Arabidopsis thaliana: one gene and its partner. The protein of the gene in region 2 interacts with the protein of the main gene of each other region in a pairwise test. Each region holds a gene or a part of one and is shown on either strand. Other genes may lie near its edges.

The links.
Region 1: the proteins of AT1G13460 (region 2) and PP2-A2 come close enough for resonance energy transfer, tested with the Arabidopsis thaliana proteins (one study listed by BioGRID).

The regions. Positions count from the first base shown.
Region 1 is NC_003075.7:10,774,590-10,778,373, reverse strand, and holds PP2-A2 (lectin-like protein), read right to left. Parts: upstream 1,762-3,784; 5' UTR 1,718-1,761; coding exon 1,571-1,717; exon of another isoform or gene 1,490-1,570; coding exon of another isoform or gene 1,469-1,489; coding exon 1,329-1,468; intron 1,238-1,328; coding exon 947-1,237; coding exon of another isoform or gene 871-946; coding exon 786-870; downstream 1-785. Other genes in the region: AT4G19860 (alpha/beta-Hydrolases superfamily protein), read left to right, coding at 1-23, 139-192, 312-719; PP2-A1 (phloem protein 2-A1), read right to left, coding at 2,673-3,045, 3,284-3,405.
Region 2 is NC_003070.9:4,613,756-4,619,178, reverse strand, and holds AT1G13460 (Protein phosphatase 2A regulatory B subunit family protein), read right to left. Parts: upstream 3,413-5,423; 5' UTR 3,120-3,412; intron 2,752-3,119; 5' UTR 2,676-2,751; coding exon 1,512-2,675; intron 1,314-1,511; coding exon 999-1,313; 3' UTR 730-998; downstream 1-729. Other genes in the region: GT-1 (Homeodomain-like superfamily protein), read left to right, coding at 4,064-4,679, 4,943-4,981, 5,290-5,423. UniProt on the Arabidopsis thaliana protein: The B regulatory subunit may modulate substrate selectivity and catalytic activity, and may also direct the localization of the catalytic enzyme to a particular subcellular compartment.

The DNA of each region.
Region 1 (3,784 bases), on a different chromosome or scaffold from region 2:
TAACGAATCTAAGATACTTCCAGGTAACACAATTTTTATCCTTTTTCAGGTATCAACTATCATTGCAATTGGCAATAAGTTATCTTCTTATCAATTTATCATCTTCTAACCTTAGATCATATATTCTTGTAATCTCAGCCGACATATATATGCGTGGATGGTGATGGCACAGTCCCGATGGAATCTGCCATGGTATGTTGCATGATCGTGTTTCTTATATAAACTCATCACAAGGAAAGGAAATCTTGAATTCGATCAGTTAGGTTGATCATTTCTCTTTGTAACGGTTCCTTCGGTTGTTTCTTTTCTAGGCGGATGGGCTTGAAGCAGTAGCAAGAGTTGGAGTCCCTGGTGAGCACCGAGGAATCCTCAACGATCACCGTGTCTTCCGAATGCTCAAAAAATGGCTAAATGTAGGCGAACCAGACCCGTTCTACAACCCAGTAAACGATTATGTCATCCTTCCCACCACATATGAATTTGAGAAATTCCATGAGAATGGACTCGAGGTTGCTTCCGTGAAAGAATCGTGGGACATCATATCAGATGACAACAATATCGGCACAACCGGGTCAACCGTGAACTCCATATCAGTCTCTCAACCTGGAGATGATCAAAACCCTCAAGCTGAAGCTCGTGCAACCTTAACCGTCCAACCACAAAGCGATGGTAGACAACATGTAGAGCTCAATGCTGTAAGTGTCTCTGTTGATGCATAAAAACGCATCTTCCCTTTGTAATGTGTCGTCAAGTGTGTCTTTGTGTCTGTATATAGCAAATAAATCTCATGCCTCGTGTACATAAATCATCATCATAATAAATTTCGTGTTCTTATTATTGTTTAAGCTTACAAGTTTGGATTTTCTAATTCTTGGGTCTAATAGCAACACCTTTCACAATAAGACCAGACTTCCACTGGTCACTTTTAACCTCCAACATCGAAAACTCAATCTTGCCAGAGAGATGTTCTGGTGATATCATGAACTCACCGGCCGGAATCTCCACCCACTTGTTCCTTTCTAACAGGTTCACATTCTCTCGCCGCTCTTTGGTTTCTCCGGTTGGCAAAACCAATTTGAAGTTAACCCGAAAATCCCATCCTTTAGCAGAATCGATTAGCTTGACCACAAACACAACCTCGTACAAACTGTTGGGAGTTAGTTTCTCCGTCTCGAATTTTCCGACAACTTCTAACCAAGCTACTCGTTCCATCTTTGCAACCTCAGTTCTTACATCACTGTATAGTGTATACAAATATGCAGAATTTAGTGAAATCTTAAAAAAACAAAAAAACACAAAAGTAACTTTCTTACAATAAAACTCATAACCTTGATGTTTGGTCAAGATCAGAGAACCAACTCCAATATTTATTTGTTTGAGACTCTGCCCATGTAATTGAGAGATCTCTCGCGTACAACATGAAACAGTTTTTCTTCGCTTTACCCTCATCTTCCTCTATCAAGTTCTTCTGAATAAGAGATTCCAACATCAATAAAATATAACTATTAGTATCATATTTAACAAGGTGAGGAAAGTTAGACAATGAAACCTAAGAAAAAAGATTTACGACCTCTGTCTTGTGCTTCAAGGAAAAGTCATCGTCGACCTGAGATGACGACGTCGTATCATGAGTAAGAGGAGAGTCTGCATGTTTTAGTATGTCTTCGTTGTTATTATGTGGCTTTGTCTTTGAGAAGATAGACCATATTATTCCCATTCCTTGATTATTTTTGTGTGTTTTCGTTATATGTTTTCTTCTTCTTTTACTAGCTATTGTATTCAGGTCTTATTTATAGAGGAATTTCATGATTATACCTTCCCGACCTGAATGTTTTGTATAACTAAATTATTCATTAGATTAAGTAATTTCTTATCTGATGGTCGAAATCCAAAAATTCTCAAAATGTTTAACACAAAATTATCTAAATTATGTCAAAATATCCAAAAATAGCTGAACTACCTAGACTTGTACCCAACCTCTTGGGCTCTTGGCTATATATAGTAGACTTCTCCATTAGTGTATTTTTGTAAGTATCATCAAACTTTAGAATACATAAATTAAACAAATGGTACACCGTACACATCGCAAACAAAATTTTGATTGGAATATATTCCATTTTCTTTTACGTCTTGTTAAACATGTTTGATTCTTTATACTTTTCATTTGATATGTTAGCTAGCTTTATTCTTCCATTTTCTCCACCAAAATGGAATTTTCGAATACTCTTTTAAAAAGTGAACATGATCCACGCATATAGACTGTTCGCTCATATACCTTTAAGATTATCTATCAAAAATGCCTAATTGAGAGATTATGTGGATATTTTACACATGTTTAGAAAATATTGTTTATGCCAAATTAAATATGGGTTTTGATAGGATCTAACTAGGTTTAAGGTTCATAGAAAATCTTTCTACTTTTTATTTTTTTACCAAAAATAAATTCATGTCAGCTCGTTAAAAGTTAGAACATTGTAAATGAATTGATTCGAATATAACAACCTTCAAAACACTCGTTTTGAGTTTATTCAACACCAACATTAAAGTTATTATTAAAACTAAAAATACGATAGAACAACCTTATTATACACACATGACATGATGTGAAATATATGTTGAGAAGGTCCATTGGTGCATATGGAGATTTATGTTTTTCTATGCCATAACAATTATTACTGTTTGGGACGAATTGCAACACCTTTGAGGGAGAGCCCTTTCTTCCAAACACCAGCCGCATGCTCATACATTGAGAAAGTGATCTCTCCGGCAGCGGATTTCTCAGGTACGAACTCGCCAACTCTGACATCGACCCATTTATACCTTGGAAGTTCCCTCAAACTCACCTTTTTCTCTTGTGGTTTCTCCTTACCGTTAGGCAAGACTAGCTTTAGGTTCACCGGCGTGTCCCATCCATAGGCCGGATCCTCTAGCTTCACCTTAAAGACTACCTCGTAAACAATCCCCGGAGTGAGGTTCCTCGTGTCGAATTTTCCCGTGATGTCGAGCCAACAAACGTTTTTCAATCCCACAGCTTCCACATTCTCGCTTTAAAAATCATCCAAAACAAACTAAAGTTTGTCACTTTGCATTAATAATTATAGGTCAAAATTCGTATTAATATTGCTATAATATACACACACAAACTTAAAACGTCGTAACCTGTTTCGAATTTATCAAGGATACTTTGATTCATACTCAACTCTATTGTAAATCAAATATGTAACAAAGATATTCATTTTGTGGTAACATTCATAGTATGGGATTTAAATGAAACGTATCTTACTTTGGTGACTCTTTTTCGGTAAACCAAGTCCAATAGTTGACGTCATCAGACCAAGTTATAGAGAGGTTCTTTGCAAAGAGCATGAAGCAGTTGCTGTTTCTCTCGTCCACCCAATATTTGATCTGTTTAATATATATTATACGCAGATCATCAAACCAAATGAATTCATGGTCCGTCTTAAATATATTAAGATTGATTTTCTTAACAAAAAGTTACCATTTTGATAGTGTTACTTTAGTCCATTAGTTCTATCTTATTTTATCTTTCGAAGCATTTGAAACCTATGTGGAAGTAGCAATCATGTCTTTCTAAACCAAGCAGAATGGAAACGTTTGTTTTGTGATCTGATCATTTTTTTAAGCTACTTTTTATTTTAGAAATGAGAGATTCAATTTTTTTGAACCAGAAGTTCTGTGTTTGCAATTTTGTTTACCTAAAGGCTCCGTTTTGCGTAGTTATTTTCTGAAAATAGAAACACAAGTGAGCTAATTCTTAAAAAGA
Region 2 (5,423 bases):
CTAAATTGAAGCTATGATTATACTATAAGTTGTGGTAGTTTTAATTAGTTTTTGGATTTTAAAAGCAAGTTCTATTTCCACGCAATTTCCTAACATTTTACTTTGTCCTCAAAGATAGTTTCTTTTAACCTCAAGTTAACCATTCTATCAAGGAATACCGTGTGATGACAATGCAATAATCACTTAACTCTATGTTGGTGATGTTAGTTGTAATCTCGTAGCTAACGCAATTAATTTTTCATGTTGGCCTAAACTTTTTTTTCTAACGCTAATAAAAATAAAATTCTTTTCATATATTTTCATATTTGCTTTTGATGAATTAATTGTTATTTGATAAATTAATATGAATCAAAAGATTTGTCATATAGACAAAAACAGAATGAAAAACAACTTAAACTCTAAGTTTTGGGTTTGGACTTTGGACTATACTATAAGTTGTGGGGTTTTGAATATTTTTGGATTTTGCAATAAGAAAAGAAATTAAATAAGATGATGAATTGTTTTAGATTGTTACTGAGTTTTTTGTTTTGTTTTTTGTTCTGTCAAATACCAAAGTGATCATGATTGAGAATGGTTAAAATCTTCCAAAAACTATAGCCTCTCAACTTTAGAGGAAAATCACTTTAAAAAAAAAAACTTGAATCGGTAAGAATGAGTTTCTCAAAAACAAAAACCATTACAAAATCTAGCGAACCTTCAACAAACAAGATCATACTCTTCAATTTAAAACTATCTTTCTTATGGAAGAGGTGTTCCTTATTTCCATATCTCATATCTAAAACTAAAACCTTGCTTACTCTGCTGTATAATTTGGAACCCATTAGCAAGCTTTAGAAAACAACGATCTTTAATATTTGCAATCTCTTCAAAGAAAACGAATCTGAAACTTTTTTCTCACTAAGTTTTTCTGGAGAGTAAGAAAAACAAACCCAATTTTCCAATGTAGTAAAAAACGAGAAAATACAGAACAAAACCTCTGTCTCTACAACTAAAACATCTTACAATGAACTCTTTTGCTTTTGATTACCAATTTCTTCCAACCGTTTCCACGTTGCCTCACGTTTTGCGCCAATTTCAGCTTCTTTTGATTCATCTTCTCTAAACTTAGCAAGACAATCCTTAAACAACTCTGCATCAATGTCATTAAAGATCTTCTGCACATTCAACGTCAAGCTATGAACAGCTTGGTTCCAATGCTTCTGAGTGTTTCTCTCCAATGCAGGGAATATGATTGGAAGAATAACTTTCCGGTTCTGCATTATTAGATTCTCGATATGATCGTTGTTCCATAAGAACAAAGCTCTTTCTGCAACCTGCAAAACAAAATAAAAAAAGTCTCAACCTTTTTGTTCTTTCTTGAGCTTGCTTATACAAAGATTCAAGCTTTCGAAATAATCACAAAGCTTTGTTCTTATGGATTCAATCAAAATATCACGCATTTCAATCTTGTAAGAATTGTTCCCATCATTCATGATTCACAGAATTAGCAAACCAAAGGAAAATACAATTACCTGAAAATGGAGACTGTTCAAACACCGAGCAACTTGGCGAAACAATGGGACCATACACCGTTGGAATTCAGGTGGTTGAGTTGCTTCTAATACTTCCTCTAGCTCGTTTAGAAACATGACTTCTTTGGAACTATTTGTGACAGGCCAAGACTTGAGTAGTCCCCTTATAACCGTATCAGCGAGTTTGCAATCTTTTTCCACAAACTGTGTGATACAATAAGACAATTGCTGATGATACATTTGCAAGCTTTTCGGTTTGTGAAGAGGTACCAAAGCTCTAACCAAAAACACTTTATGCTCGTCTTTAAGCGGCAGAGCAAATCCATTGATGATACTTCCCAAAATCTCTAGAAACTCAGCAATCCCATTGTGTTTCTCAGTCTCGAAAACAAACCGATAGAAAATGTTATTAATGGATTTCCTTATGAAAGGACGATGAACCATAAATTTACCGTAGATGCGATGTAGAACGGTCTTAAGACAATCTCTTTCTCTAGGATCCTCTGAATCAAATAAATCAAGTAACCTTGAGACAAAAGATTGGTCAATGTATTTCTTAGCCAGCTTGGTGTCTGTCTCTGGTGAAGCAATAAGCCGCAGGAGAATTTCATAGACAAGCTGCAAGTGAGGCCAAGTAGGATCCATAGAAGGCTCTTCTTCCTCCAAGTCTAACGCATCAATAACTTTATTCTCGCGCGGTTGAGGATTCAAGGTTCTGAATATGTTAACAGAAACCATTCTAACCACTTCTTGAATCACAGTTTCACTAAACTTTCCATTAGGAGAAGCTACATAATCCACAAGCTCAAGCAATGTCTGCCGCTTAATATCCTTTTCCTTAACGTTCTTCGTTGGATCCGAGAAATCGAAAACAACACAGCACAAGCTGAGTTTTCTCACAAACAAGTTCTGTTTCTCTGCATTAGGAACATCTTTGAAACCTGGCAATGCTTCATATGGAGTGAAACCGTTACCATTTCCTTTCAAATTCCCTTCTTTAAACCCTGAATCAGCAGAAGGTTTTACAGGAGGAGCGTTCTGGGTTTGAGAATTACCCGATTTACTGGCGCCATTATCACTACTTTTTGAAGTGGAACTAGATGAAGAAGAATGGTTCTTAGAAGAAGACTTCTTAGGAAGCTTACTCAGAATCTGTTTCCACATAGTGTATTAAACTCAGATTCTTCTTTGTTCATATCCCCAAAACAAACATCTAGAAGAACAATTTCATCAACTCCATCTGAATAACAGAACAAAAAAACAAGAAAAACAGATTAAGAACCTGAAATATTGAAGATATGATACTAAAACACACACAAAGTTAGTTATATCAAGAACCTGAAATGGAGATAAATCCCAAAATTTACCAAATTTATTACAACAAAACCATTTTTTCTTCTTCTTTATTCACTCACGAAACTCAGAAACAGAAAAAAATCACCACTACAAACCATAAAAATCGAAACTTTCGATTCTGATTCTGAAACAAACGCAATCACAAAATCAAAAATCAAGAGAAATCGCACATTACAACACCTCCGATTGCACAAAACAAAGGTCAAAAGTAGGAAAAAAAAAACGATGAATAATGAAATAAAAAAAGCTTACAAAAATTCACATTCAAGTTCTTCTTCCAAAAAAAAACCTCCTTCGATGTTGTTGATTGACTTTGAAATTAAGAATTTGTACCCTTTAGATTTGGCTCAAATCATTGCGAATTGTTGTTATTGTTCTTGATTTTGGTTTTCTTTCTTCTTCTTTGAGATTTGTGACTTCTCGTGATCCAGTTATCTATCATTCTCTCTTCTCCTCCGATGGCTGATCAAACTTTTTTTTCTCAATTCTATTTTAATTTAATTTTAATTGTTTTTTTATTCCCCTTTATTTTAATATTGTTTTTTTTTGTGTGTGTGTTCGGTCTGGCCTGCCAGGTCCACTCCTCCCTCACTTGAATTAGTAATTTTTACAGAATTTTCAAGCTGACAACACTTCAAAATGTTTTAAAATTCCAGATTTTAATTGCCGACCGTAACACTATTATACGACATAGTTTTGAATGTATGTAATAAAATCGGTTATATTGGTTTGGTTTTTCGGTTCAATCTTTCTTGTGTTTAATACAAACTTAATTTCGGTTTATGGTTTTAGTTATTGTTTTGTTCCAAAGAAGAGTGTCTCATTTCTTTTTTGACATTTTCTCCCTTCGAATCTTTGATGCATTTGGTCTTATGGATGCACACAAGATGTAAGTTATATATCAGATGCCAAGGTGATGAAGTTTGATGCATCAAGATACAAACATCACATGCTAATATTTGCAATAACAGATTGACATTACAAAGTTTATATGGCAAAAACATTCAAACCAATTTATATAACCAAAACTTTAAATTTGTAATTATCCTTATCCAAAACCAAATCTCTAGACTAAGATAGAGAAAACCTAACTTAAAGTTAAAACCTTTTTTTTCATTTTGTTCTGAGGGGGCTTTTGTGTTGACGGTGGTGGGAACAAAGGAACATCGTATCCATTCTGTCCGGGAAACACAGCAATGTTCATTTCCGACAAATCTCGTCCTACTGATTTCTACAAAGACGATCATCACAATTCCTCCACCACCAGCACCACACGCGATATGATGATCGATGTACTCACCACTACCAACGAATCAGTAGATCTACAATCTCACCACCACCACAATCACCACAATCATCATCTCCACCAATCTCAGCCACAACAACAGATTCTCCTCGGAGAAAGCAGTGGAGAAGATCACGAAGTTAAAGCACCAAAGAAACGAGCGGAGACATGGGTTCAAGACGAAACTCGTAGCTTAATCATGTTCCGTAGAGGTATGGATGGTTTATTCAATACATCCAAATCTAATAAACATCTCTGGGAACAGATTTCGTCTAAGATGAGAGAAAAAGGGTTTGATCGATCTCCGACTATGTGTACTGATAAATGGAGGAATCTGTTGAAAGAGTTTAAGAAAGCTAAGCATCATGATAGAGGAAATGGATCGGCGAAGATGTCGTATTACAAAGAGATTGAAGATATTCTTAGAGAGAGGAGCAAAAAAGTGACACCACCACAGTATAATAAGAGCCCTAATACACCACCTACATCAGCCAAAGTTGATTCCTTTATGCAATTTACTGATAAAGGTATAAACTTTGGCATCAATTGTAGATTTCTTGATTTGGATTCAGAGAACGTAACTGTGATTATGGTTTTTGTTGCTACTATTTGGGAAAATTCTTATCTGTATCTTAGGCTGAGAAGATACTACATTTTAGAGTAGGTTTCTTATTGTGGTTTTTCAGTTATCTTTAAAGAAGATGATAGTTTTGGTAAATGAATCTGCGTATGTGGATTTTGTGCCTTTAATTTTCTTTTGGCTAAGTGGTAATTTTATCTTTCATTGTAGGTTTTGATGATACGAGCATTTCTTTTGGATCCGTTGAAGGTACTTATCTATCACTATTAGTTTGTTTATTATAGTATCTTGCTATGTATACAAAGAGACGAGCTTTTGTTTGTCTACTGCCTCTTGAAGTTGTCTTTTAAGTTGGTCGAAAACATCTCCCTGAGTGAGCAATAGTAGAGGTATGAACTTGCTTAGTGAAGTGAACATTTGGGACTGAAACAAATAGTAAACATGACTGTGCCGTAGAATTCACAGGCAGTTTCTGTGTTAGATGGTTTAGTTTTGTTTCTAGAGGATGTGTGTGTGTGTGTGTATGTTTGAAAAGTGTATATATATCTATGTTTCAGCTAATGGCAGGCCAGCCTTAAACCTTGAAAGGCGTCTTGATCATGATGGTCATCCTCTTGCAATCACTACAGCAGTTGATGCTGTTGCAGCAAATGGAGTTACTCCTTGGAATTGGAGAGAGACTCCTGGAAAC